4 linked regions of the Arabidopsis thaliana genome follow. The protein of the gene in region 4 interacts with the protein of the main gene of each other region in a pairwise test. Each region holds a gene or a part of one and is shown on either strand. Other genes may lie near its edges. The genes, in order: AT2G34460, BTI3, AT5G27970 and PRA7.

Region 1 (7,340 bases), on a different chromosome or scaffold from region 4:
CCTTTCACTTAGGATAGAAAAATATAGAAAGATTCTTACATTAAAAACTGTGCTTAATGATCCCAGAATCCCAGTAGTAGCTCTACTCAAAGTCAACACAGCTACCGGAAGAAGATTCGAGTCTCTCGGAAATGGCATCACACGACCACCATCATCATCATCACGATCATGAGCATGACCACGAGTTCGTGTTATCATTGATTTTCTCTGTAAAGTTCTGATCTTGATACGATTTATTCCCCTCACTAATCTGTTTCTCTACTTCTTCTGTCAAGTAGGAAATCAGACGGCGGAGAAGGGAAGGCGTCGTGGGTGGGGAAGGACGGGAAGGTGTACCATAGCCACGATGGACTCGCACCTCACTCACACGAACCCATCTACTCTCCTGGCTACTTCAGTCGCCGAGCTCCTCCGCTTCACGACCGTAACTTCTCTGAGAGAGCTTTTACCGTCGGTATTGGCGGTCCCGTTGGCACTGGGTAATCATTTCATGATCAAATTTACTGCTTGATTTTGTAATTTGGTACCGTAACAAATTTTAATCTCTGGGTTAAGGATTAAGCATGAATCTATGATAATGTTCTTGTCTGGGTTCTTTGGAATGCTATTTTAAGATTTGGGTTTCATAAAAGTGTCAAACTTTTTAGTCTAATCACCATTGGATTGTTGTTTTTGTTGACTCAGGAAAACGGCATTGATGCTTGCTCTTTGTAGATTCTTGAGGGACAAATATAGTCTTGCTGCTGTGAGTATTATTATCAGTGGCAAACACAAGATTGTTTTCTCGATCTCACTCATGTGACTAAATAAGATTTTGATATTGTAAACGTTGTAGGTGACAAATGATATATTCACGAAAGAGGATGGTGAGTTTCTGGTGAAGAATGGGGCTCTTCCTGAGGAAAGGATTAGAGCTGTTGAAACAGGTGGATGTCCACACGCTGCTATCCGTGAAGATATCAGTATCAATTTGGGTCCTCTTGAGGAGTTATCTAACTTATTCAAGGCTGATTTGCTTCTTTGTGAATCCGGTGGAGGTGAGGTTTCATTTCTAGCTAGTTCTTGATAGTTAATCTGCACGATATATAGATTTCTGTTTCTCAAGGAACCAATGAGATATGAATAGGCTTAGTGTTGTGTGTTGCAGATAATTTAGCTGCTAATTTCAGTAGAGAACTAGCTGACTATATCATCTACATCATCGATGTATCGGCTGGTGATAAAATACCCCGTAAAGGCGGCCCTGGAATCACTCAAGCTGATCTTCTGGTGCGCTTATGCTGCCTTAACTCTTCACTTACTCCTTTTGATCAAGTCTATAGTAGTGTGAAAGAATCTCTTGTGGATTTTTCCAACTGCAGGTGATAAACAAGACTGACCTTGCAGCAGCTGTTGGGGCTGACTTATCGGTCATGGAAAGGGATTCACTACGCATGCGTGATGGAGGGCCATTTGTCTTTGCTCAGGTTCGCCATCTTCAGAAATATGTTTCATCACTTATATAACCAATGACCTTAGTACTTACAAAAGAGTCTTCTTTGATTACTAAACATTGGCAGGTGAAGCATGGGCTTGGAGTCGAGGAAATCGTGAACCATGTCATGCACTCATGGGAACATGCGACCGGGAAGAAGCGCCAGTGATGATGGGGTTCTTAAGACCCAAAATGGATAAGATATGAAACTGAATGGAACTCTTTCAATACTTATCTTGAACTCAATTTATGCGCAAAAGTCTATGTAATCTGTTTGTTGTACTCAAGACATAAGAGAAATAAAAGGTTTGAGCATGAGACTCATTACATTCTAGTTTATTGTCCTTTAACAGAGGCAAATAGATCTTTGTAGGAACGTTTTGGAGCTTCGGCACGAGCAACTATCTCCACAACCTTGAAAGATGATTCCTCTTGAAGTAAAGCTTCCACTGCAACTTCTGCGACCAGGTCTCTCGATATACTCCCTTCATATAGAGTATCCTACAAAAATCAAAGGTCAGATCTTTATCAGTTTCCAGCACAAAACAGATGAAACAAATATCAAAGGCTGTGTTTTACCTCTGGCTCCATGACAACATTTCCAGTTGGAGGATCGTTTTTAAGACCACCAGGCCTTACTATAGTATAGTTGATGCCAGATTTTTTGATATACTTCTCGGCTTGAAGCTTAGCGACAAGAGTTAGTCCAAAGAGGTTGAGGAAGAGGTAAGCAGGGTTCAGTATCTGTCCCATGGCAGCTCCATTCACCAAGATGGAGCTTACAAGAACAAACTTTTCCACTCCTTGTTTACGGCAAGCATCCACAAGATTCACTGTCCCGAAATTATCGACTTTCCAAGGAGTGAATATATCAAATCCGGGACGAAACCCAGTAGCACAAATCACAGCTTGAGAATCATCACCTATAACTTCAGCTAGCTTATCAGGACCTTCTGTCACGTCTGCTCTAACCTATAGAAGAAATCACAGAGCAGTTGTGAGAAAATGAGAGCGAGAAAACATTGGATTAAGACCAAGAACATACTATCTGAAGAGACGGGTCGTCTTTGAAAGATGTTTTTGCTTTCTCTACATCACGAACACCAGCTTTGACGGCAAAGCCACGGGACAACAACTGCTCCACAATCCTCTTCCCGGTTTGTCCAGTTGCTCCTGCGACAAACACCTTCTTTGTCTTCACTGCATTCTCTGCTTCACCTTTTTCCATCTGAGATACAAACAAGCAAAGTCAATTTCAGAATTGGGGAAATCTAAACACACAATTCAATACAAGATTCTAGAATCAATGGTTTTATTACAGATAAATCTTACTTTGATGGAAGTAAAGGAGCGAAAAGATTTGTTCTTGGTGAAGAAGGAAGACTGAGAGAAGAAGACAGCTGAGGAATGTCTGAGAAGCAAAGATGTTGCCATCGATGTGTAACCTCTCTGCCACAAACGTTAACTTTTGTTAAATTGTAAATTTTTGATCTTTGCCTTTTTTGTTGATTAGATTACGCCACGTGGCAAAGGTCTCCGACAATCTGTTTCAGTACGCAATTACGGAAAAACCCCAAAGAGGCAGCGAACGAAAGTTCGATTCCGAGAAAGTGAGAGAAAATGACGAAGAGAGCTCCCAAGTCAGGGCCTTTGTCTCCGTCGTGCAGCGGAGGCTCTAGTCGGTAAGTTTTGTGTCTGGCTTTGATAGGTTACAGAACAAGTTTGGCTTTTTACACCTGGTTTTGCTTTGATTTCTCTGTTTAGGGTTTAAGGGTTCTGCTTAGTCTCTCTGGTTATTACTGATTAAGTGGTTAGATAGGGAATTGGATATGAAAGTTGTGAACTTTATGCTATCCAATGGCAAATGGGTGAGAAGAAGAGCAAGGAAAGAGGATGTTAGTTAGATTTTTGTTAATTGTGTTGTAAAATCTTGGCAGGAACTTAGAGTTGGCTGTGAAGTCAAGTGAAGGTGCAAGGAGGTCTACAAGACTGAGACTTCAGCCTTTGAGAAAGCCAAAGACAAGCCCCAAGAAGAAACCCGTTAAACTCCAAACGAAGATGCCCAAGAAACCTGCCACTGCTTTCTTCTTTTTCCTGTAGGTACTCTCTCTCATATGATTCCAAATTGTTATCTAAATATTTAAGCTCAGCTGGACTTCCTTAAGTCTTCTCTTAAGTAGAAATTTGTGTGCATTTTGCCATTGGTCTTTAGGATGCGATTATTTATGTTGTTATGTGTTCTGGTTACTTTAGAAAACATACGAAGAAACACTTGTTGTATTCATTTTCCTCTTGCCTCATATTGTCTTATCTTTTTGGCTCCAAAGGGATGATTTCCGGAAGCAATATCAAGAGGAGAATCCAGATGTCAAGTCCATGCGCGAGGTTGTAGAATATTACTTTGTTGGTTTTGTATGTCAAAGTAAAACATGGTGGCTATTATGTTCACTTTGATTCTTTTGCTAAAGTTGTTTTGTTCTTCATTCTGTACAGATTGGGAAGACATGTGGAGAGAAATGGAAAACAATGACTTACGAGGTAACATTTGGGTTTCGCTTTTCTGTCCCAGTTAGTCTATTGTCTCTATCTTCTAAAAGTCTCCTCTATAATGTTATTCAAATCATAGTCAAATGTATGATATCTGACATTGGGATGACTCACAAAAGCAATGAAATAGGTTTCATGTTAGCATATATAGTGGTTGGATAGATATGTTCTAAAATGAGTCAGGTGTTGCCAGTCTTGTTCTTTTTGGCGAACAATATCTCATTTTATTCTTCTTACCTAGATATCTTTGGTTGAGACCTTGACGGAAGTTTCTTACTCCTAGATTGTTTGTTCCTCAACTGTTTTGTAGGAAAAGGTAAAGTATTATGATATAGCTACTGAGAAGAGGGAAGAATTTCACCGAGCAATGACAGAATATACCAAGAGAATGGTACCACCGTTTTCTTCATTTTTCCTTGTTTTTGCTTAATATTTATTCACATCAGTGGGTTCTTCATTTTTCCTTGTTTTTGCTTAATATTTATTCACATCAGTGTCCCACTGATGCGGTGATAAAACATTAGTCTGAGCTTTTCATTTTACTATTTTGCAGGAATCAGGTGCCCACGATGAATCAGAGACCGACTCAGACTATTCTGAATAGATTACTTTTTAGTTTCTACCACATTAGAAACATTGTTCTAAGCCTTCTAGGATGGGTTTGTATATCGGTGATATTTAAGAGTTTCTGTTTCGTTTTTGAGATCATTCTTTCACTGATACTCATGTTTCTGTGGATTGCATTTGGAGATCAATGAATACTAACCAGTTTCTTGAGTGGTTGCCAAAGGGTTTTACTGTTTCTTTTTATTGTCTCGATTCTGTTTGAAACAAAAATTCCAGACTGCAGAGTGACGAAAAAGCTGATCAAGTTTAGCAAGTACACTTGAGATTAATACAGACAAATTTCCAGGTACATTTTCATTTGATGTCAAATAGAAAGTCACACCCCATAGATGACAGAAAATTCTACACCAGCAATAACTTTCATGTGTTGGTAAGTTCTGTAGGCTGATACAAAAAATAGAATGTAACTCTAACAAGTCGGTCTAGCTATTTTCTGGAGAGAAGCATGAGGCAAGACGAAGCCTGCAAGTGATTGACTTGACCTTCAATCCTACCATGGACTGTCTGAAGCCTATCTTTGTATTCATTGAGTTCATCGAGGGTAAGCGTCTCAATGGACTCCTTGAATCTCTCATCCCCAGCAGATTCAAGCTTCTCCTGACTCTTCTCGCCTCGTTCCTTCTCAGCTTCAACCTCTTGGTTGAGCAAATCGAGACGTTCACTCAGCCTCTTCAGTTTAGGCCTGTAATTACCACTTTTTTCTTCATCGCCACTGTCTGAATCATCATATTCTCTCATGAATCGCTCTGCAACAGAATCAAGATTCGGTTTCCCGTAGGAGAAAGGCTTGCCTCCTGGTGAAAAGACAACGATGCCCAACTCAGCGTTGCAGAGCGTGGCTAACTCGCTCGCCTTCTTGAACAAACCAGTCCTCCGTTTTGAAAAGGTAACCTGTCGTGTGTTCATGTCCTGAACCATCTCCATCTTGATCTTTCTCCGACCCATTTGTTTGCTAAAACGGTACGAATAAGAGAGAACCTCTCGTTTTTTTTTGCTGTGAAAGTGAATATGTTGGTGAAGAAGAAGATTTTGGTGTTGTATGTCTCTGTTTTTAGTAATGGAGATGGAGGTAGAGAATTTTCATTGAACCTAACGAGGGTCATATATAGTAATGGAGGTGGAGAATCACAAGGGTGCAGATTTAGCAAGTTTTTAATTGAAAATCTTGAATTGCCTTATATGGGCGTTGAATAGTTTCTAATTGTGTGTATTCAAACATCCATGAATATTTAAATTTTCATTTTTCTTTTTTCTATTGAATAGTTTCTAATTGTGTATTCAAAACATACATGAATCTTTAACAATTCATATTTTTTCCCTTTATTTCTTAAGAACATAGACAAAAGATGGGATTCATTACCTTGTAAAGAATTAAAAATGGTATTCATAATTGGTCTTTCTTTTTTTTTTTTTTTTTATGTAATTCAAAATTTAGAAGTTTATTTTATATTCTGGTCGTTATTCTCCAAAGTGATTTTTTTTTTCTTCTTTGTAGACCTCTCGTTGATTAATAAGTTATCGACCATGTTATGTAGTTCAAAAGTTTTTGCAAATGGTGTCGTTGAATTAAAATAAAAAGTTATGGACCGTTTCAAACGTTTTTGTTTGCGAATGCCCACTGAGGACAGGAGTCCAAAGGTTTGCGAGTCACTCGAATGACTTATGAGTTCAGTCACATTCAACTTAACCATGTTTTTTTAATTAGAAACCTAAAACAAGAGCGTCGACCATAAGACCTACAAATGCTTTCAAGACTCCGAACTACATTATCAAAAATAAAGTCTTTGACAATTTGCATACCAAACACACCCAAATTGCATGAAAAATTCCGTGCAATTAAATTTGAACAAGAGAAAAATTATGACCAAGACTTTGGATTCCTTATCACCAAAACTCTCAACAATGCAACATCAAAATCCGATTGAAGAAGTCACACCAAAAGTGAAAGACAAAAAAGTTAAAAACATATAAGGATGGTTTGAGATATATTTTAGTTATTTTGAAGAACAAAAACAAACTTGTTTGGACTTTGATGTGGTACGATCAAATCATTTGGTATTATCTCTGTTCTTGGAACCAAACTATGTTGTGTGAACACCGAATTAGGTCTAAGTATGTTCTTGCACATTAGTAAATAGTAAGTGACTGATCCATCAATATCATAAAGCTTCTTAAATATTTCACACACATACAAAGTAATTTACAAGATATGAAATCTGCATCACATTTCCAAGATGCAACAAACCGGATACACACAACTCGATCACAAATTAAACTCACTTTCCGGGGACGAAGTTGGTAGCGAAGGCCCATGCATTGTTGTTGACTGGATCAGCCAAGTGGTCCGCGAGGTTCTCCAACGGTCCCTTTCCGGTGACAATGGCCTGAACGAAGAATCCAAACATAGAGAACATAGCCAACCTTCCGTTCTTGAGCTCCTTCACCTTCAACTCCGCGAAAGCCTCGGGGTCAGTAGCGAGGCCCAATGGGTCGAAGCTCCCACCTGGGTAAAGCAAGTCCTCTGCTTCTCCCAATGGACCATCTCCGGCGACTCTGTAGCCCTCAACAGCTCCCATGAGGATAACTTGAGTAGCCCAAATGGCTAAGATGCTCTGAGCGTGGACCAAGCTCGGGTTGCCCAAGTAGTCCAATCCTCCGTCGCTGAAGATCTGTGAACCAGCCTTGAACCAAA
Region 2 (7,552 bases), on a different chromosome or scaffold from region 4:
TGGCATTGGTTCTTCATTCGTTTTAAAAGCAACAATCTCCAAAGGAGTGAATAGTACCGCGTTTCTCGTCTTCATGGGTGTGGCACTCTCTATCACTGCATTCCCTGTGTTGGCCCGTATCTTAGCGGAGCTAAAGCTTCTAACTACTGAGATAGGACGACTTGCTATGTCGGCAGCTGCCGTTAACGATGTGGCAGCTTGGATTCTACTTGCTCTAGCCATTGCTCTCTCGGGATCCAATACCTCTCCCCTTGTCTCTCTCTGGGTTTTCCTTTCCGGGTGTGCTTTTGTTATCGGTGCGTCTTTCATCATTCCACCAATCTTTAGATGGATTTCCCGGAGGTGCCACGAGGGAGAACCTATCGAGGAAACCTACATCTGTGCCACTTTGGCTGTAGTTCTTGTTTGTGGATTCATAACTGATGCCATTGGAATCCACTCCATGTTTGGTGCCTTTGTGGTGGGTGTTTTGATTCCAAAGGAAGGACCTTTTGCTGGTGCACTAGTTGAGAAGGTGGAAGATCTTGTATCCGGTCTCTTCCTGCCGCTTTACTTTGTGGCAAGTGGTCTGAAAACTAATGTGGCAACGATCCAAGGAGCTCAGTCTTGGGGTCTTCTGGTTTTAGTCACCGCCACAGCTTGTTTCGGTAAGATATTGGGCACTCTCGGTGTTTCCCTCGCCTTCAAGATACCTATGCGAGAAGCAATAACATTAGGATTCCTCATGAACACTAAAGGATTGGTCGAACTCATCGTCCTCAACATCGGAAAAGATCGAAAGGTATAACTTTTTCAAATCCTTAACAATTTGCGTCATGAAAGTTTATAACTTAAATCTTTCTTTTGTTGTGTCCTCAGGTTCTTAATGATCAGACATTTGCCATAATGGTTCTAATGGCTCTCTTCACAACCTTCATCACCACACCAGTCGTAATGGCAGTCTACAAACCAGCGAGAAGAGCGAAGAAAGAAGGAGAATACAAACACAGGGCAGTAGAACGAGAGAACACAAACACACAGCTTCGAATCCTCACATGTTTCCACGGAGCAGGAAGCATTCCTTCAATGATAAACCTCCTAGAAGCATCAAGAGGTATCGAAAAAGGCGAAGGGCTCTGCGTTTACGCTCTCCACTTACGGGAACTATCAGAGAGATCATCAGCTATTCTAATGGTTCATAAAGTTCGGAAAAACGGAATGCCGTTTTGGAACAGAAGAGGAGTAAACGCAGACGCTGATCAAGTAGTAGTTGCTTTCCAAGCTTTTCAACAGCTAAGCAGAGTCAATGTCCGACCAATGACAGCAATCTCTTCAATGTCTGATATTCATGAAGATATCTGCACAACAGCTGTAAGAAAAAAAGCAGCCATTGTGATTCTTCCGTTTCACAAGCATCAACAGCTTGATGGTTCGTTAGAGACTACACGTGGCGATTACCGTTGGGTTAACCGGAGAGTTTTGCTTCAAGCTCCTTGTTCGGTTGGTATATTCGTTGACCGTGGACTCGGAGGTTCAAGTCAAGTCTCAGCTCAAGATGTTTCTTACTCTGTTGTTGTTCTGTTCTTCGGTGGTCCTGATGATCGTGAAGCGTTGGCTTATGGATTACGTATGGCGGAGCATCCCGGAATTGTTTTGACTGTTTTCCGATTTGTGGTATCGCCGGAGAGAGTCGGAGAGATTGTTAATGTTGAAGTGAGTAACAATAACAACGAGAATCAGAGTGTGAAGAATCTGAAATCGGATGAGGAGATTATGTCTGAGATAAGGAAGATATCTTCGGTGGACGAATCGGTTAAGTTCGTGGAGAAACAGATTGAAAACGCCGCCGTGGATGTTAGATCGGCGATTGAGGAAGTGCGGCGGAGCAATTTGTTTTTGGTTGGTAGAATGCCAGGTGGAGAAATTGCATTGGCGATTAGGGAGAATAGTGAATGTCCGGAGCTTGGACCTGTAGGAAGCTTGTTGATTTCGCCGGAATCTTCGACAAAAGCATCGGTTTTGGTGATTCAGCAGTACAACGGCACCGGAATAGCTCCGGATTTGGGTGCGGCTGAGACGGAGGTATTGACTTCTACGGATAAAGACTCTGATTGAATGAATCATTGGTTAAAAACAAGAACGGTTCGGTTCGGGTCAGGGGTTGGTTTACCATAGTTAGTGAAAAGTTGGTTAATGAATACGGTTTAATCAAAATGACTGTACTTGGCTTTCACTGTTTCATCTTTTCTTTCTTTTTTGTCGTCACTGTTCATCTTTAAGTTTTTTTGCTTTTGAAAGTAAATGGTTAAATGATGACAAAAAAAAAAATAATGGTTGTTGTAAAAAAAGTTATCTACTTTAATCGGAAAAATAATAAATTTAAAAATCCAGTCATTGAACATAAAACTAAAAACAGAAATGTCAGAAGTGGGGTTTGAACCCACGCCCTCTTACGAGGACCAGAACTTGAGTCTGGCGCCTTAGACCACTCGGCCATCCTGACTTTTGATATTGTTTTCTACTACAAACTATATATAGTGATTAACACCTAGTTGTCTACCTTACGTATGTTGCTTACTTTAAGTAATTATCCAGATTTGATGGTTATCATACCGAAAGCGTTTGGTATTGTGGAATCCACTTTTTGTGTGATTATTTTTGTCGAGAAATCGTGAAATCGCAATTTTGGCAAAAGAATTATGAACAAATTTTTTTGGAAAATTATCAAATTGCGTTTAACCTAGTTCATATACCAATCATTTTAGCTTTTCCTATGAACAAGATGTTGAGATGATGAAAGAGATGGAATGGGAAGAATATTATTAGTCAAATAAAAACAAGAAAGATTCTTATGAACTAAAGTTAGATCGCAGTAGCAGTGAAGAGCGAAAAACCCACGAAACAATTTGAGTTTATGTGTATGGACCAATCCTCAGACATGATGCAAAATTGACATGACGAATACCATCATGGAGAGCTGTTAAAAGGATGAGAAATTAACTAAGACAAATAACTAACAACAATAATTATCATCCATCCGTGTTCTCTCATAATCTAAATATTTTTAGTTAAAACCCCCAAATTTATAATGAACATAATAATAACAAGAGATCAAAGGGTTTATCAACCAACAGCTTCTAACAAAACATGTCTTGAACCATTACTACGATTCCAATGAGAGAGTAACTCACATTCCTTAATCCTTCTTCTTGTTCAGAGCTCCTCTTGGAATCTTGCTTATGACCTTACGCAATACCTTCTCATCAAGTACTGCATATTGCTTTTTGATCTCCCTCATCGCCTTCTCCCCATAGGCATCTACTTTGTCCTCATACTTCTCGTAGAGTACAGGAATGGTGAAGAGAAGGACAGTAGCTGGAAGCAAGAAAGAAAAGCTGGTTATCAAGATATGCAAGTATGATTCCTATCAGATTAAATGCAGTAAGATGTAAATGAATCGTTACCAGTGTAGAACAATGTCAAGAAGTTGTAGCAGCTGCCAATAATGGACAAAACCCACAAGCCAGCAATTACCTAAAACATGTGCAAGCAAGTATTAGCATTTATGAGGAACATAAGAAAACCGCTTTGCATCGAGGTAGATAACATGAACAATACCAGGATAAATTTCTTGACATCTTTTCCTGATGCAATGTTCCTAAGAAGGGTCAAACCACGATTGATTTCAATCCTTAATCCAGAAACAAGTTGAAGAATAGGATCTTCAGGGATGTGAACTTCCGGGATGTGAGGAGTTGACCTGAGGATAAGAACTCAGTTGATCAGGCAGTTATCTCATACTTAACACTTAACATATAAGGGATGTTGTAAGAACATACTTGTGGATGAATGTACAAGCATTAGACCACAAGAACAATGCTGCAAGAGCAAAAATCGCAAAGTGACAGAGAAAAGCGAGGAGATGGTATTCGAATAACTCGAATAAGACCCAAGACGCAGTTACAGCACCCAAGACTCCACCAGATACCTTCTTGTTCCTCCAAAGGAATATATCAGCAGCTACATGCAAACAATGAATCCAGATTCAACATAGTTTCTGAGTATTTCACAAGATTTAAGCGTACTTTCGAGCAAAGCAGACAATTAAGCACTCAAATACACTCAATTTTAGCTTCAAATTAGAGCAACATTCACTAGATCGAGCAAAATCACTATGTAAGATACAAAATCGAGTAAAATCAGAGTTCAAAGTGAAGAAATAGAGATAGATCCATACGTTTTCCACCACCGAGAACCTTGTGAACAGGTTTCTCCCTTCCGAAAAGTCGGTAAATCTTTGACTTGAAGGACGACGACGAAGACGATGTAGATTTCTTATCGTCGTCGGAATCGGACAGAGAAGACGAGTCACCGTGGCCATGGATCTTCTCAACAATCTTCTCCAAGATCGATTCCTCGTGCTTGTGGTCTTCCACCATTTTTGTTGATTCTACAAACCTCCGAGAAGAAGAAAAAAAAACCTAAAACTCTTTACTGATTGAAGAGTGTGGGAGGAGACTGTGACGAATAAAAGCGTGTGCTTCAGATTTAATCCCACCCCTTGATTTAAAACATTTAATCCAGTCCGTTTGATTCGGGTCTGGGCCTCGAGTAGGTAACCGTCCACGGTGGAAAATCAAACTATTTATTTTGTAGCAGATGTAACATATTTGGCGTGGAACTAACGGTCGTTAATTAATGTGAATATTCCCGATAACGTCTCCGTTAGTGGAACGTTAGATGTCGGCGGATAGGATCCAGCATTGGGCCCATTTATGGGATTGTTGGTACAGTATTAAGGCCCATTTATTACTGATCCATTTCATAGTAAAAATAAAAAATTGTTAGGCATAGTAAAATTGTTATGAGAATATGTTGATAGAATGAAAATGCTCCTAGATGAAAGATGATCATACACCTGTTGATTAAACATTACAAGGTCACAGATTATATATATTGACATCTCAAAAATTAACCAAGACGCTGCGTTTTGGAGATATTGGATTTCGAAGACCCGGAAGATAAGAGGAGAATAGTCAGTGACTCTCACGCACGTGGGGTTTGAATTGATGACTCTGGTCTCTTGGCCTCGAGATCTAACTTCTTCCGTGGGATCCAATTTTGAGCTGAGTCATGACACGTGTTACAACACGTGTGCTCCACTGTGTCGACATCACTCTTGAAGGTAAGATTTTTTGGAGTAATGGCAAACCCAGAGATCAACAAAATCAGGTTTGACAATGAAAGCTCACTTATTTATTTATGTACTTTTCCAATAATTTGATTAGTCCAAATATATTATTCTATTTGGATATTCATTCATATACATAATTACATACACATGCAGTGTTAGAAGTGAGTTTAATATGGAAGATTCGTCGTCTAGTGTGACATGAAATTCCACCATTTCATATAATTAGATTTTCTTCTTATATATATAATTTTATGCATCTAATCGTGTGGATGAGAATTGTCCTTCACCTAACCAACCTTTTCGAAGAAAAAGAGAGATTTGTTTCTTAATATATCTTCAGAAAGAGAGAGAGATTCGATGACAAAAAGGATAAGAGATTCTTGGAGACCTCAAAAATCTACTATCGTGGGTCTAAGAAGATTACGTGGCTCGTTTTAAGACCCTTGCATAATCTTAAAGTTCTTACCTATTTTTTTTTTTTTGTCGTAAAGTTCTTACCTAATACAGTAATATATTTTTATATTGTATAAAATATTATACATTAATTAATCAAAAAAAAATTCCAATTCAATCCTGAAACAGTGAAACCCATGCGTGCCAAAGCCAAAAATCTGACTACCTTGCTAAGTGCTAATCATTACCCAATCAGAGTTCATATCAGGAATATACCATATCCATAAGAGCTATATACTAATTACTTGCAAAAGTTTGCACCAAACCTTACTACGTACAAAAGAAAAGATCGTAGATGGTCAAAATTGTGGCTTACTATAATGGCTTATTATATAGTTATTTTTAGATAGCTAAATTTCTTGTATATACAATTTTGAGTTTTACGTATAGAAAAAAATATCATATTTGAGTTTGGTAAAAAGGATGAGTAAATAATTTGGAGATTTCAACCTTCATGTTAAGTTTTCATTTTCGATTAATTTTATCTAATTTTTTATTTTAATTTCTTTGATAACCAAACAATGTAATTTAGACTAATCCTTTTGGACTTATAAAACAAAAACAATTTACTATATATGCAAGCTGTAATAGGGTGATTTGAGTTCTAGTCCACTAAATGTAAATGTTACGTACGTTAAATTTGTATTTGTAATGTGATAAAAAAAAATCTAATGACCTGTATTCATTAACTTAAAAAAAATTCTAATTAACTTATAGAATGGTATAATATCTTATCATATTGTATTATTTTTCAAATAACACTAAAAATTTTGACTCATAATTAATAAAACGTTTAAAGCTTTTTAGGTGAAATTCTTATTTTTATATTTTGTAGAATAGTACAGTTTTGTCACTAAGTATTATTTGTGGTCGCATTTAAATATCAAGTAGCGATATTTAAAAACTTTGCAAGTTGATATAAAGAAGAAAAAAATTATAATATAATAAGACAATGATATAATATAACAAAGCTAATATCTTTCATCCACACACATATATATTAGATCTATATATATATATCTCATATGTATACCTAACCTTACCATATTTGTATTGAGAATTGAGATTAATTAGATCTGTAAAACTCTCTTAAAATAGTTAACCAAGAACACCAAAACTACAAAAATGTTCCCTTTCTTGAAGCAACGGTCGAGGTCGGTCCACGGTGAAGATGCACCGTCATCTACAGAGTCCACAGTCTCCGTCGCTGCCGCAGATATTGGAGGAGCGTGTACGACACTCACGGTGTGGAGAAAATCGCTTCTGGTGAGTTGTGAAGGATTCACGGTGATAGATTCGAATGGAGATTTGATTTACCGGGTCGATAATTATGCCCGAACCCGACCCGAGGAACTCATCCTCATGGATAAAGATGGAAACTCCCTCCTCCTCATGCATCGTACCAAGGTAAATATATGTACAAAGTATTTAGAATAAACTTATTTGAATATGTTTTAGAATATGGATCATTATATTCATTGTACACATCATCCTTCAAAATTACAATATCACATTTATTTTAGATTATTAAGAATCAAACCTCTACTAAATCTGTCTCACAGTTGTACTTATGAATCTGTTTTGTTAGCGTTGTAGTTGTAAATTAGTTGTGTAGATATTAGTTCTAGGTTGTAGTTATAAAACATCCAAATACTTGATTGATACAAAACAATAAATGGAGCAACAACAAAATGATTTATAAGAGTTGTGAATTTTTGGTGGAATTTACCAAAATGATATAGAAATACTTTAAAAATTGAAAGAAGTTTTCGTCGTCCTTACGGATCACTCTAGCGAAGTATCGGATCGATTTGCTTACAACCATTAGAATTGTGATAGTTTGTAAATAGTACTTAAGGTCGGCGATATGTTGATAATAATGAACAATGAATGTTGAGTATTAATTTCGCTGATAGACATGTTAGC
Region 3 (8,176 bases), on a different chromosome or scaffold from region 4:
AGATAATATTATATTGCCCTATAAGCTTTGTAAGAGCATTCAGATATCAGAGAAAAAGATAAAGTGATAACCTAACTATAATAAATATCAAGTTGTATTATACAAGTAAAAAGACAGAATCCTGCATGGGGTTTTGCCAAATTTACCTGGGTAGTTGCATGAGGAGAATGAATAGCTCGATCTAGGGCTGCCAGAGTTTCAAGAACCTGTATTCATTTAGGATTTTCGTTATCAAGAGATAGATTACTTGAACATAGTTGAAGCAAAACACTCACCAACACCCATGATGGGCCCAACACGTTATGCAACCTGTGAGCGATGTTGAAGAGTGTTCTCAATGCCTGAACAAAGATCAGACGGTCTTAGGTCAGCCAAGTACGTTTAACCAAATAATTATAAATGGGTAAGAATACTTTTTTTGTTTCAAGATGTGCATGTACGAAAGAATGAAACCCTAAATAAAGAATATCAAATTAAATACCTGAACATTCTTGGGTGTCAGGACAATGACATCTTTCAGATCAACCTGTACTTCAGAACGTTTGGACACAGGCGACTGTACGACGCTGCTGAAATTACAAATTTAATAACAAAAAGTTATCTGGCTTGCATTGATTAAGTAACTTTCATATGATATATAGCAAAATATTCAAGGTACCTTTTCCTTTCCACATCAGTTGGCAAAACGATAGTAAATTTACAAAGCGATGCAAGAAAAGAGTTCAAGGGTTCTACAGCATGGAGAACGCCACATGCCTGAAAAAATTATTTGAAGGATACCCGTCAATTCTTCTGGATAGGTAGACAACATACGCTTAAGTGGCAATGTAAAAACTGTATAGCAGGGACACATTTGTTCCACACATCGACAATTAGCAGCCACATAACATATGGACACTTCGAATCTGGTTTGCATTTACCTGAGTAAATGCTTGATATCCTTTCAGTATCTCTAATACGATTGCCTCTCCTTGTGACCTTCAAGAACAATTATTTTAAACAAAGTCCTCAGTGTTTGCCTCTTCACAATCAATGTATAGTCTGACAAAAGGGTTGTTATACCTTGATAATATAAGGGAAAATGCGTCAAGTATAGTCAACCACAATGAATCTACCATTGAGATACAGAGAAGTGAGGTTTTCCCAGTATAATCTGATGAAGGAAGATGCTCGTATCTGGGAGATTCAAGCTGATGGTTTGAAGAAATGTAAGTATGAAACACAAGAGACAATCAGGTAAAGAGTAGAAAGAATATGTAATAGCAGAGGAGAACCCTGCATCAATTACCTCCCCAACATCTACTGCTTCATCTGTTAATGTGGCAACTGTAAAAACAACTCCAAGTAAGCCTTCAATTGCCAACGTTATTGCATGAGCTTCACTCGCAACGAGAACAGCAGCACTGGATGCATCATTATCAAGAATCCACTCAATTCCTACAGCAATAGGGAATATATTTAATGACATCTTTCTTAGAATGAAGTAACATTAATCGAATTCTGAGGTCCTTAGAGGTAATGAATAATCATCATAGCATCAAATAATTGGTTACCTTTAGCTTTGCTACTAAACATCCCAGCAACAGCTGCTAGACTTTCCTCACTCGTCTCCTGAAACTACTTCCAAGGAAACCAACTCTAGAATTAAGCTATGTTCCAAGTTTTACTCCTATTATGCGATTTCAATTCTTGAGCTATAATAAACAAGCCACTATACAGTTCCTGAAATTCTTCCATAGAATCTTTTCAGGTACACATAATAAGTAAAACTAAATGCACATCTAAAACCAACTAATAAACAAATCAAAATTAGCGACTACTAGAACTAATGCAAATTGAGACTACAGGAAACATAACGGGCGTCCTGCCCTACACACCCACCTGTATGCTAGAAACAACTCGAGCAAGTGCTTTGACCATGCTCTCCACAACATTCGTGTTTTTGGGGTGCCTTGAAAGACAAAGTTAATATTAGATCACACGAGAGACATAATTAGGGAAAGAAAAAAAGGACGAACAGAGAATTCTATAACACCAGACATAACATTACAATCTTTACCAAAAGTCCATAGTAAAAGTTAGTAGAATCACAAGAAAAACCAATAAGATTTAGAAACTTTTTCAACTGCAGTGTGAAGAAAGAACGAGACGGGAGTTTCCTAAACATGCAACATTGAGTACATCACAAGGACAAAGAGAAGTATTTAGCCTTACATATCAAAGTTCTGGAAAAGAATCCGTAATGTTCTTGCCTCAACACAGAACCCCTATTAATGCACAGACACACAAGATACCTTAGAAATGTGAACTGAAAAGAATTGAGCACAAATTCCTATTCTGTGATACATACATGTGCAAATAGTAATAATGGAATGTAACGATTACCCGCAAAATCTCAAGAACAAGAATGCGATGCCACAATGGCAAATCTAAAAATGTAGCTTTCACGAGCATACTTAGGAACACCTGTGCACAGACAGAAATGGGATGGACGCACATCAGTAAAGAGAACTTGCAGAGATCATAGTCATCCGCAGAACACATTTCATGTGCTTGTTCCTTTGTGGTCAATAGCACAAAGTTTAAAATGAACAAGTAAAGTTTTGCATACTGTACCTCGCATTCTGTGATGAGAGACGAACTATACAGTCTTATAATATGCGCAACCGACCGCAGCACTAACCGGCGAAAATAAGGTTCAACCATTTCTCCCTCGAGCTGAGCAGTAACAAAATCTTATAAGTAAGCGCATTCGATATACTTTAATGCTAATCCAAATTATATTTTAGATCACATGGACGCATACAATACAAAAGGTAATGAGGCATGATTTTACCTCTGAACTGGTCCGAAGCGATGTCATCAGAAGGGAACAGATTTGGTGACGCAAAACCTGATGAATAAATAGGCAAACTTTTACAGTTAGGTCATCACGCTAATGGAAGGATGAAAAACAAGTGCCCACCAGGAAATATCCTAGCATTACCTGTTCGTAGGGAAGTAGTATCTTAAAAACTGATATATAGTTCGACAAAACAAACCTGCCAAGTAAATTGAGAACTCGTGCATTTTAAACATGATTTTTCAACTTTCACTTCAACATATGCAACTAGAGTTTAAAAAGCCTTGCCAACTCACTCAATTAGTTCGAGGGAAAACGTCCTTGGAAGAGAAGTAACATGCAACCAAGCTGCCTGTAAAGCATGAATATAACAATTAATTCGGTGATATCCCTTTAACGATACTTAGCTGGAGAAAAGATACAGCACCAAAATCAATATAGTGTAACACATACAGATCCACCTGCAGCTGAGGCTGTCAGGTCCTCAAGCAACCGCAGACCAAGTTTACCGGTTTCACTCAGGGTGTCTCTTATTGTCAATCGACCACCGATAACATCCTTCTCCAAGGGCCTGCTTTCATAATTCTATTAGTCTATCAAATAAATAATACCAAATGCCAAGGTTCCAATTGACTAAAGCGTAAGTTCAAAAAGGAGAGCCTATGTCTTTCACTTCATCAGGAAAAGCTCAAATCAACCGGCATGTAATCATTTCATCCCCCAGTGTGTATAAAAATAACCATAATTCCACAAAGCTCTAATACTATATTTACCCAGTAAAGACAGTACAAAGTTTAAGATAAAAGAGTACAACAGACAGAATTGATCAGGACTGACGTACCCTGAATTATTGATATTCTGACTCAAATCTCCAGTAACTGATCCAGTCCTTGCTGTTTGACTGCTCGAACCAAATTTAGGCATAGGAAGGGACTCAGCCGAAACCACTTGATCAAAAATCAATGCAACTGCTTGCCTGAAGGTAGCTGCAGCAGTACTAGGAGACCAAAAAAAACAAAACCATAAATTTTATTTTTGACAAAGTAAAACAAAAAAGTAAAAGAAAATAATAATATAGGAGAAATGAGGTAAGGTTTTTATAAAAGCAACGTACTTGTAAACACTAGGAGGACGGTTATTATCAAGAAGCGTGAGACAGATGCTTAGTCCTAGGACCATATTATCCTGGAATTAAGAAAGAAGCTAAAGTTATCAAAGCAACAAGCAAGCAGATCAATGGAGAACTAATGATTTTACATTAGTACAGGACAGTTTGGTTTAGTGGTCTTATTTGATGGGTCACTCCAAAAAAAAAAAAAAATTCCTGACATCTGCATTCTATTGTTATATGCATAAAACTATTTTAAGTTTTGTTTACGTTAAAGACCAGGATCAGGATTGATGTTTTGTTAAATTTCCAACTTCGACTACCAGCAGTTTTGTGTTAGACTTCCATTCTTACTAGATCAAGCTTGGTGTATTCACCTCTGTTTCTGGATGTAGTCGAGACTGAAATATTATTAGAATAGTTTGTAGAGTCTTTAGTTGAATATTTTCTTCTGCCATTTCTGAATGCTGCAAGTAAGGAAACACGGCGTCAGATAGCTGTTTTGCCTTAACTCAAATAAAAAAGAAGAAGACGAAGGATAGCTTTATATTACTATCTAATATAATGCAGAGAGGTACAGAAACCCCAACTTACATCTTTCAATGTATAAAGTATCTCCTTTAGAGATGATGGTTCAACTGCATCATGAGATATAAGCTTCTGCAAGCAGGAAAGTCCTATAACACTAAGCTTTGTATTCCTGACTCCACACGCCATCAGAAATATCCGAAGAATGTCTTCATTGCTTGAAAGATCACTGGCACTCGATGACGACCGAAGCTGAAAAAGCAAGAATGACTCCACATTTAACAATTCAATTCACCAGAAACATTCCAACAAAGATTCCAACAATGTAAATGCTATCCATTCTCCAAGCTCACTGAGTTCAACAATTCAATTTTAGAGTCTAAAGTGGAAAATTATAATGCGAATTAACTAAAACAAACACCAATTTGAATCTCAATGATTACAGTGAATTCAAGCTCGAACAACACACTTGTACATTACTGTGGAGAAATCCTAACCTTTAGGATTGCGTGCTCGGCTCCGTCTTTCACGGCGGGATACCTCCGCCGCGCTTCGGCGGAGAGAGCGCGAAGATCCGCCTCTAAAGCCGCCACCAAAGCCATTTTCGTTACTTGAACCTCTCGAGATTTTCTGGGAGAGAGCAACTCCGATATTAGGGATTTCAAGCTACTTAGATGCTACCGGGAAGATAACTAAATGGAGGAGTTTGGGCATTTGAGATCGGACAAAAAGCTCCGATCGTGACGAACTGAGAAGAAAGCAAGAAATTGAAATCGAAGGTAAGAACTTTCCGATGGCGAAAAAGAAGAGAAGGACTCAGATTTCGAGCTGTGTGTATCTTAGCAGGCGTATCTCACGTGCCTCAAATCTGATATTAATTTTGGGTATTCTTTGGTATAGTTTGGTTCGAGATTTGTGGGTTACGTATTATTGGATTTTATAAATTAGGCACCAAATAAAACTGAATTTTATTTTGGCTCCGTTTCAGTTTAGAATTTTGGATAAAATGACTAAATTTTGCGTTTGCCAATTGTCTTTAAGAATTTGTTGACTTCATAAAAGTCTAACTGTTAACAATGGTTGAGGTGGAAGATAACCGTAAATGTTTGTAGCTAATTCTTTAAACAATGGTTGAGGTGGAAGATAAAGATATTTGGTTGTGGTTTGTACAACTTCTGAAAAAAAGGATTTGAATCTTCAAGATGAGGAAAACATTACAATCATTTCACACAAACAAAAATATGATTCTACTATGGAATCATTATGTAAATATCTAGCTAGATATATGTTATATTTTTTGTTATCATGTGAAAGTCTAGAATAAAAAAAAACAACTTTCTTACATAAAATATTGTTAGTCTCTAAGCTTTTCGATAGATGTGTAGAACAAGAGGGGTCGTGGTACAATATGTTCACCACTCTTCTTCAGCTTTTTACTAATGAAAGTCGTTTTTTACGTAATCCAAATTTATGAAGTCAGCGAACATTTAGAGATTTAATTAACAAACACAAAAATTGGGAAATAATTATACGAAATTGCAAAAGGCGAGGAATTAGTTGGTCTTTTCTTTTGGATTGGGGCTGGATTTCTTTATTAAAAACCTAATTATTTTATAGACTTTTAATATGTTTCAATGATATAAATATATTAAGAAGATTTATTACTTTTTGATGAAATTTTGATTAGTTCAGTTCGATTGAATAAAATCCGGATTCGAATCAAGTTTTTATTTGGTTCGGATAACTCATTAAAGAAACTAGGAGAGAACCCGTGAAGTAGAATTTTTTATTTTATTTTTTGTTACAACCAACATATCTTATATAATAAAATAAGTTTTTCACAAAACATATGTTCTAAAGTTGTGACATATGTCATCTCTTTATTTGACATGTGTTATTTCTCTCCCATTTTATTGGTTCCAAATTTAAAATACACTATGAACGTTTAAAATTAAATATATTTATTTATAATGAACCAAAAAAGAATAATCTAGATACAGAAATATTTTGGGAGATTGACAAACATAGCACGAAAAAAGTCGTCGGATAACTTCCACCGCTAGTCGCAGCGGCCAATAGGGCGGATGAGCCGTGAGACACTCGTCTATGAAACCTCCGTCCTCGAATCAGAGCGAACGATATCATAGCTTCTCAAACCGCCATGAAAGAGCCATAGATGCGTCACATGACGAATAACACACATCACCGTTGTTGGAGAAGGAAGCTTGCTCCCCCTTGATTCACCGTTGAAGTCGTAAACCTCAAGTGAAGATTAAAAAGAAATAAAAAAAAAGAAGAAAAAAAAACTAGATTTAGAAAGTTGCCCGAGAGAGAGAAAAAAAGTGAAGTATTTTTTGTTTATGGAATTTGTCCCCAAAAAACATGTATGTAATGGAATTTGTCCCAAAAAAAAACATGTATGTAATGGAATTTGTCCCAAAAAAAATGTATATAATGGAATACTTCAAATCACGTATAATTTTGTAAATTCGATAACATTCATTTTTAGTTAAACTAATTGGTCTTAACCTTTTTGTTATGTAAATTGTTTTATACTTTCATAAGGTTGCCATGTTTGTTAGTGCCTTGATGTCCTTAATATTATCAAAGAAAAAAGGAACTATCATGATTCATAGTGTTGGGTAGTTATTATATATATACATTGGGAAAAATGTCATTTAAATCATTAGTTTACCATTTTCGTTGGTTTAAAGCATGAACTATGTACTTGGTGATTTAAATCCTCAATTTTATGTTGACTACCAATTTAGTTCCTCGCACCATCATCTTGATGGCACTTCGACCACTCTTCCTCTTCCACGTGGTCCCGTTGATCCCGTCGAACTCGATGAAAGGTTGCTCATCCTAAACTGGAAATCCGGTTTTCAATTACAAAATTAAGAATTCAGCTTTTTAGGGTTCTTAATTTGAATTTGGGGGTTTTGGGATTTTGATTTTTATGAAGACAACGACAATAGGTTGTAATCTGTTTTTTTTTTTTGGTTAAGTTACGACCGAAACATTGTTTCGTCTCGGGTTTACGCACTAAACCGACGAAACCAGGATTCATGGACATTAAGCTCTCGAACTTTCAATTGGTGGGGAAATAAGCATTTAACTTCCGTTTCATGTGTATACAGACAAAGGTCAAAGATCGGGCTTTATCTGGCTAGATACGATCGTTCTCGTGGGAAAATAGAGACCATTTTACGTTTATAATGTATAAACTTCTTATAAAAGAATTGAGATGTGTTTCTTTAAAAAAATAATTCTATTTAGTGTTTAAGATTGTATATTTATATTTTGATTGTTAATTATATGATTTTACCTATAGTATAGCGCCCCATATTATTATCTACCCAAATCCATTAATTCTAAGATTTTATCTGTAATATAAGGTTTCAATGTGAGACTCAATTTCTCACTAAGCCCATTATAGGCCCAACAAAAACCTAACAACAAAACCTAATCATGAAGTGTGTATATACATGTGTATATAACGTCGTCTTCGTCCCTGCAACCTTGCTTCATCACCATTATCGATCATAACATTGAGAAACTAAGGAGAGTTACAACTTCAAGACACTAACATTTAGATCGGAGTCGTCGGTTTGGTTCGTGGATGCAGTTTCTATTGTGTAGAGGTGGCAACGTCAAGTAGATCGCCGCGTAACGTGAGTCGTAGTCATCACCGGTTG
Region 4 (6,637 bases):
AATATCTAGAGTTATTCTCATGCTTGTTTCTTTGAAGGTTAATGTCAGGATCAAGATTGTTTCTGGATCACCATGTGGAGCTGTTGCGGCTGAGGCCAAGAAATCTCAAGCAAATTGGGTAGTTCTTGATAAGTAAGTTAATAATCTGATTTTATTCTTCAGTTCTTTAGTTTTTACTCTCTTTGTGTGGTTGAATGATTATATTTCTTTTACAGGCACCTTAAGCATGAAGAGAAACGGTGCATAGATGAGTTACAATGTAACATTGTGGCGATGAAGCGTTCTGAGGCAAAAGTCCTGCGGTTGAACTTGGTCGGGTCTTCAACAAAGGAACCAGAATTAGCATCTGAAAAAAACAAAAACAGGTTGTTAGATTCTGTTAAAGCGGTTGTTACAACTACTCCAATGAGCAGTCCTGAGGTTGAGACATCATTCACAGGAACAGAAGCTTGGACTTCATCAGTATCTAGCTCTGACCTCGGTACATCATCGCCAGTTTTCACAGCTGAAGTGAGAAAGGATGAAACTTTGGTCGTCAAAGAGAATGAATCTGATTCTGATTCAGAGAGCGAAAATCTATCACTACCTTCCTTAAGTAAGAGATTCCAACCATGGATATCAGAATATCTTAGCACTCATTGCGTCTCGATGCAGGAATCAACGAGAGGCGATGATAAGGCTGTTCAAGTATCTACTAAAAAGGCTTTGCTTGAGAAAATTTCTAAGCTTGATGAAGGAGAAGAAGCAGCTATGTCAAGTAAAAGGAAAGACTTGGAGGAGTATAGTGGAACCTTAAGAGCGTTATCACGAAATGCTCCTCCTGTTTCACCTCCTCTCTGTTCTATATGCCAGCACAAAGCGCCTGTATTTGGAAAACCACCGAGGTTTTTCTCCTACAAAGAGTTAGAGCTTGCAACAAACGGGTTTTCGCGAGCTAATTTTTTGGCAGAAGGTGGATTTGGATCTGTTCATAGAGGTGTATTACCTGAAGGCCAGATTGTAGCAGTAAAGCAACACAAAGTGGCCAGTACACAAGGAGATGTAGAGTTTTGCTCTGAAGTAGAAGTTTTGAGCTGTGCTCAGCATCGAAACGTAGTTATGTTAATCGGTTTCTGCATCGAAGATACCAGAAGACTCTTGGTCTATGAATACATATGCAATGGATCATTAGACTCTCATCTATACGGTAAATAGAGTTTCCAAGTTAGTTAAAGATGTTGTTAACCTAAAAAACACTTAACTAGAGTTATCTAACTAACTTTCATGAAATGTCCATTTAGGTCGCCATAAGGACACTTTGGGATGGCCTGCAAGACAAAAAATAGCGGTTGGAGCGGCTCGAGGTCTTCGATATCTTCATGAAGAGTGTAGAGTAGGTTGCATTGTTCACCGAGACATGAGGCCTAACAATATACTAATTACTCATGATTATGAACCACTGGTATTTATATTTTCTTGAACCACAATTTACACTTTTTTATACATTCGTTTGATTCTGTTTTTGTTTCTCTTTCAGGTTGGAGATTTTGGTTTAGCAAGATGGCAGCCTGATGGAGAGCTAGGTGTAGACACGCGTGTGATAGGAACTTTCGGGTAACAAAATTTATAACTAAATCATCATTCTCACTCTAGAGTAATTTCTCAACTACTTTCTGTGTTTCTTGTTTTAGCTATTTAGCTCCAGAGTATGCTCAAAGTGGACAAATCACAGAGAAAGCCGATGTTTACTCGTTCGGGGTTGTATTGATCGAACTAATCACGGGTCGTAAAGCAATGGATATCTACAGACCAAAGGGACAACAATGTTTAACTGAATGGGTAAATCCATAAGTTTCTTCTTTTTAAGGTTTCTTAGCTCATTTTCAGTCTCTTCTTGTAAATGAAATCTAAAAGTTTCTTTCTTGAAGCTCATTTTGTTATTTTATTTTCTTTGTGAGCAGGCAAGATCTTTATTAGAAGAGTATGCGGTTGAGGAATTAGTTGATCCGAGGCTCGAAAAGCGATATTCAGAAACACAAGTCATTTGCATGATTCATACAGCTTCATTGTGTATACGTAGAGATCCACATTTGCGTCCTCGCATGTCTCAGGTAAAGAAAAGATTCACCATTCTTGAAACATGTTCATTTCTTTAAGTCAATAAAACTCTCTCAAGTGTGTCTGCTCTTTTGCTTGTTGTTGAAGGTGTTGCGTTTATTGGAAGGAGATATGTTAATGAATGAAATCTCAGGGAGGTTTAATGGAAGACTATCCACTGAGAAAGGTCTCAGAGATCATAACTAAAAGCTCAACTAGCCAATCTGATCACTTTCTTTTGGTATAGTGCGTAGGATCAATAGAAGAATTTTGTAAAATCAAAGTCCTCTTAATTGACAATTATGGTTTTTTAGTAGCTTTATCCAAAGTGATTAGTGTTTGTAGTGCTAATCATGTAATAACGTAATTAACCAACAAAACATACTCAAAAATTGTACTGTTGTCAACAAATTGAACAAAGTAGAAGAACATGTCAAGTTTTCTCAAATCGCACCAAACTCAGTAACATACAAAAAAAAAAAACAAATTTTTGGATTTACGACGAAGGGTATGACATCAGCCCTGAAGCTTCAGTAACCGCCGCAGCTTCTTCATCAAGAAACAAATTATCACTTCTTCTAACCGCCGCATGAATCAGAACCAACACGGCGGCGGTTAACAAAGATCCCAGAATATTCGAAGTAGCGTGAGTCAACAAAAGCATCACAACCGTCAAAACCGATAAACCAATAAGAACCGTCCGATCATCAATCTGATAACCAAAAACAACAAGAGGCTCGTCACGGAGGAAATAGAGAAAGATCCAGAAGACGACCAAGATTGATAACACGATCAACGAGGTTGGGTGATATAGAAGGCTTAGGAAGAGGATGAAGAGAACTCCGATGGCGTAATTAGCTCTGAAATAGCCGAGATTCGTTTTGATCCTCGAGATCGCGTCGAAGAAACCGTGAGGGAGAGTCATTGATTCGAAATCGAACATTGATTTCCATGGGCGGCGCGTAGCTAGACCGGATTTTATACGGTGTTTGGCGCGTGAGATGTATTCGAGATCTATCGCCGGTGATGGATGAGACGACGTCGGAATCGCCCCGTAGTTCGTCATTTTTGGAGAAGAGAGACACGAAGCTTTTTTTTTTGTTGGTTGTAATAATTTATAAATTGCTCAGTGTCCCTATGGATTAGGTGATGGTGCTAATGTAAATGTCACATATGGATAAAAGTTGTTACATGCCCAATAAATACATAAATGCTTTATATTGTAATAATTTTTTATTTGTTTTGCAACTGTACATTTATGGTAACAATATTGGTATTATATGTGTTTAACAGTCAGCATCATAGAGACATATTCTTAGGAAAATGTACAGCATATTATATTCTCTGTCATTTTCAAAACATAAATCTGATTAATTACTTGTAAACAGCATAATTTTATTCATTAGAAGGATTAATTTTTTTTTCCGGCAGAATAAAAATTTCATATTATTAGTTCACCAAAGAAACTGCGACCGAGTGGTTTCTTTGGCAGCGCTTTGTTGCTGCACGTGGCTTATCCCCACAAATATTTACAAACTCCACCAGATATTTTCATGCTTTCACATTTTAGTCCCAACCTTTTGTTTGAATACCATCTAACACTTTGCTTTTTAAAATTCCTATTTTTAAAAACCGAAGTCGAATGCTTGATTTGTATTCAAAGACACTTCACCTTCGATTTTGTCATCTATATGGTTGAATGTTTTCTTTAAGATTGTCCATGGAGAATCCTACAAGTTTCACCAAAAACATTAACAAATACATATACATATATGGATGGACATAACCTTGTGCATTCTGTAATTGACCAGCTTCAAACACATACTTGACAATTCACAGAAAATTATCTCTCATTCTCTTAAAGATACATTTTGAATAAAGAGAAGATGGAGCTTGAAGAACAGAAGAAGTACTTTCATGGAACACTAGAGATTACAATCTTCGATGCAACACCTTTTTCTCCTCCATTTCCTTTCAATGTAAGTCTATATCATATACTGAATTAGTGACTCTGATGATGTTATCATTGTGTTCATTTTCATGAGCTTTTGTTATCTTTGTTCACAGTGTATATGTACAAAGCCAAAAGCAGCTTACGTGACCATCAAGATAAACAAGAAGAAAGTTGCTAAAACAAGCTCAGAATACGACCGTATTTGGAATCAGACTTTTCAGATCCTCTGCGCTCACCCGGTTACTGACACGACTATCACCATCACGCTCAAGACTCGATGTTCTGTTCTCGGAAGATTCCGAATCTCTGCAGAACAGATCCTGACATCTAATTCAGCAGTTATCAACGGGTTCTTCCCTCTGATTGCAGACAATGGGTCAACGAAACGTAACTTGAAGCTTAAGTGTTTGATGTGGTTCAGACCGGCTTATCTTGAACCGGGATGGTGCAGAGCGCTTGAAGAAGCGTCTTTTCAAGGTATTAGGAACGCAAGCTTCCCTCAAAGATCGAACTGCAGAGTCGTACTGTATCAAGATGCACACCACAAGGCCACATTTGATCCAAGGGTTGATGATGTTCCTTTTAATGCAAGGAATCTATGGGAAGATGTTTACAAAGCGATCGAAAGTGCTAGGCACTTGGTTTACATTGCAGGATGGGCACTAAACCCTAATCTTGTTCTTGTACGCGACAACGAAACTGAGATTCCACATGCGGTTGGAGTAACGGTTGGCGAGCTTCTGAAACGGAAATCAGAGGAAGGTGTAGCGGTGAGAGTAATGTTGTGGAACGACGAGACGTCTTTACCAATGATCAAGAACAAAGGTGTAATGAGAACAAACGTCGAAAGAGCTCTTGCTTACTTCAGAAACACAAACGTTGTTTGTAGATTGTGTCCAAGATTGCACAAAAAGCTCCCTACAGCGTTTGCACACCACCAAAAGACAATAACACTGGATACACGGGTGACAAATTCAAGCACGAAGGAGCGAGAGATCATGAGCTTCCTTGGCGGGTTTGACCTTTGCGATGGTCGATATGACACTGAGGAGCATTCACTGTTTCGTACACTCGGAACAGAAGCTGATTTTTACCAGACAAGTGTAGCTGGAGCTAAGCTAAGTAGAGGCGGACCAAGAGAGCCATGGCATGATTGCCATGTGTCCGTGGTTGGAGGAGCGGCTTGGGATGTCCTGAAGAACTTCGAACAGCGATGGACGAAACAGTGTAACCCTTCCGTGTTGGTTAACACTTCAGGGATCAGAAACTTAGTAAACCTAACCGGACCTACTGAGGAAAATAACAGGAAATGGAATGTTCAAGTTCTGAGATCGATAGATCACATATCGGCAACAGAGATGCCAAGAGGTTTGCCGGTAGAGAAGAGTGTACACGATGGCTATGTCGCAGCAATTCGAAAGGCTGAGAGGTTTATCTACATCGAGAATCAGTATTTCATGGGAAGCTGTGATCATTGGGAGAGCAAGAACGATAAGTACGAAATTTCTCTTAACGAAGCTATTAAATATCCATTGGGAGATTCTGATCTATTTTAGTATTTCTTTTTTTGATGGATAGAATCTGCAGCGGATGCACAAACTTGATACCTGTCGAAATAGCGTTAAAGATTGCTGCTAAGATACGTGCAAGGGAGAGATTTGCTGTGTATATAGTCATACCGATGTGGCCGGAAGGGCCACCGGAGAGTGAAACGGTTGAAGAGATACTTCATTGGACGAGAGAGACGATGTCAATGATGTATCAGATCATTGGAGAGGCGATATGGGAAGTTGGAGACAAGTCGCATCCGAGGGATTATCTAAACTTCTTCTGTCTTGCAAACAGAGAAGAGAAGAGAGATGGGGAGTTTGAAGCAGTTTCGTCGCCCCACCAGAAAACGCATTACTGGAATGCGCAGAGGAATCGGAGATTCATGGTCTATGTCCACTCCAAGCTCATGATAGGTAACAAACAATCCGCAATTCACAATCTGAAATGAAAATATATTGAAGATTCGTTAAACTTTCACAAACTTTCACTTAAGATTTAAATTACAGAGATTGTCATATGTTTGTAGTGGACGACACATACATTTTGATAGGATCAGCCAATATAAACCAGAGATCAATGGATGGTTGTCGGGACACCGAGATTGCAATAGGTTGCTACCAAACCAATACCAACAACACCAACGAAATCCAAGCTTACCGGTTATCGCTCTGGTATGAGCATACCGGTGGCAAGATCACGGCAGATGACTTATCATCGTCAGAGCCAGAGAGTCTTGAATGTGTCCGAGGGTTACGGACAATAGGAGAGCAAATGTGGGAGATTTACAGTGGAGACAAGGTCGTAGACATGCTCGGTATCCATTTGGTCGCCTATCCAATTAGTGTGACAGGAGATGGTGCAGTTGAGGAAGTCGGTGACGGTTGCTTTCCTGATACCAAGACCTTGGTGAAAGGAAAGAGGTCCAAGATGTTTCCTCCTGTTCTAACCACCTGAAAAAATGTCCGAATCAGAATCATTCTTAGATCATAACTTGCAATACATATATATAAATAACATTCAGCCTGTTAATTATGATGAAATACGCATATAAATGTT

Evidence for each region.
Region 1: the proteins of PRA7 (region 4) and AT2G34460 interact in a two-hybrid assay, tested with the Arabidopsis thaliana proteins (one large-scale study listed by BioGRID).
Region 2: the proteins of PRA7 (region 4) and BTI3 interact in a two-hybrid assay, tested with the Arabidopsis thaliana proteins (one large-scale study listed by BioGRID).
Region 3: the proteins of PRA7 (region 4) and AT5G27970 interact in a two-hybrid assay, tested with the Arabidopsis thaliana proteins (one large-scale study listed by BioGRID).

The regions. Positions count from the first base shown.
Region 1 is NC_003071.7:14,525,203-14,532,542, reverse strand, and holds AT2G34460 (NAD(P)-binding Rossmann-fold superfamily protein), read right to left. Parts: upstream 2,986-7,340; 5' UTR 2,909-2,985; coding exon 2,807-2,908; intron 2,703-2,806; coding exon 2,520-2,702; intron 2,447-2,519; coding exon 2,054-2,446; intron 1,976-2,053; coding exon 1,811-1,975; 3' UTR 1,644-1,810; downstream 1-1,643. Other genes in the region: UREG (urease accessory protein G), read left to right, coding at 132-184, 276-479, 685-745, 836-1,037, 1,148-1,269, 1,362-1,466, 1,560-1,643; AT2G34450 (HMG-box (high mobility group) DNA-binding family protein), read left to right, coding at 3,095-3,156, 3,412-3,570, 3,802-3,862, 3,968-4,012, 4,332-4,412, 4,575-4,625; AGL29 (AGAMOUS-like 29), read right to left, coding at 5,075-5,593; LHB1B1 (light-harvesting chlorophyll-protein complex II subunit B1), read right to left, coding at 6,925-7,340.
Region 2 is NC_003076.8:16,633,096-16,640,647, reverse strand, and holds BTI3 (VIRB2-interacting protein 3), read right to left. Parts: upstream 4,620-7,552; 5' UTR 4,419-4,619; coding exon 4,217-4,418; intron 4,000-4,216; coding exon 3,819-3,999; intron 3,740-3,818; coding exon 3,598-3,739; intron 3,514-3,597; coding exon 3,444-3,513; intron 3,355-3,443; coding exon 3,176-3,354; 3' UTR 2,740-3,175; downstream 1-2,739. Other genes in the region: CHX18 (cation/H+ exchanger 18), read left to right, coding at 1-781, 859-2,094; AT5G41590 (LURP-one-like protein (DUF567)), read left to right, coding at 6,752-7,033. UniProt on the Arabidopsis thaliana protein: Plays a role in the Agrobacterium-mediated plant transformation via its interaction with VirB2, the major component of the T-pilus.
Region 3 is NC_003076.8:10,001,624-10,009,799, reverse strand, and holds the start of AT5G27970 (ARM repeat superfamily protein), read right to left. Parts: upstream 5,081-8,176; coding exon 4,976-5,080; intron 4,731-4,975; coding exon 4,545-4,730; intron 4,457-4,544; coding exon of another isoform or gene 4,418-4,456; coding exon 4,328-4,417; intron 4,028-4,327; coding exon 3,957-4,027; intron 3,840-3,956; coding exon 3,684-3,839; intron 3,414-3,683; coding exon 3,296-3,413; intron 3,195-3,295; coding exon 3,139-3,194; intron 3,042-3,138; coding exon 2,987-3,041; intron 2,894-2,986; coding exon 2,837-2,893; intron 2,719-2,836; coding exon 2,617-2,718; intron 2,467-2,616; coding exon 2,386-2,466; intron 2,268-2,385; coding exon 2,215-2,267; intron 2,160-2,214; coding exon 2,118-2,159; intron 1,952-2,117; coding exon 1,882-1,951; intron 1,618-1,881; coding exon 1,554-1,617; intron 1,438-1,553; coding exon 1,289-1,437; intron 1,191-1,288; coding exon 1,063-1,190; intron 979-1,062; coding exon 921-978; intron 757-920; coding exon 659-756; intron 570-658; and 6 more.
Region 4 is NC_003070.9:20,584,955-20,591,591, reverse strand, and holds PRA7 (PRA1 (Prenylated rab acceptor) family protein), read right to left. Parts: upstream 3,196-6,637; 5' UTR 3,143-3,195; coding exon 2,573-3,142; 3' UTR 2,393-2,572; downstream 1-2,392. Other genes in the region: AT1G55200 (kinase with adenine nucleotide alpha hydrolases-like domain-containing protein), read left to right, coding at 38-132, 216-1,186, 1,281-1,441, 1,517-1,593, 1,671-1,818, 1,941-2,090, 2,185-2,283; PLDEPSILON (phospholipase D alpha 4), read left to right, coding at 3,963-4,055, 4,144-5,525, 5,609-5,994, 6,108-6,535.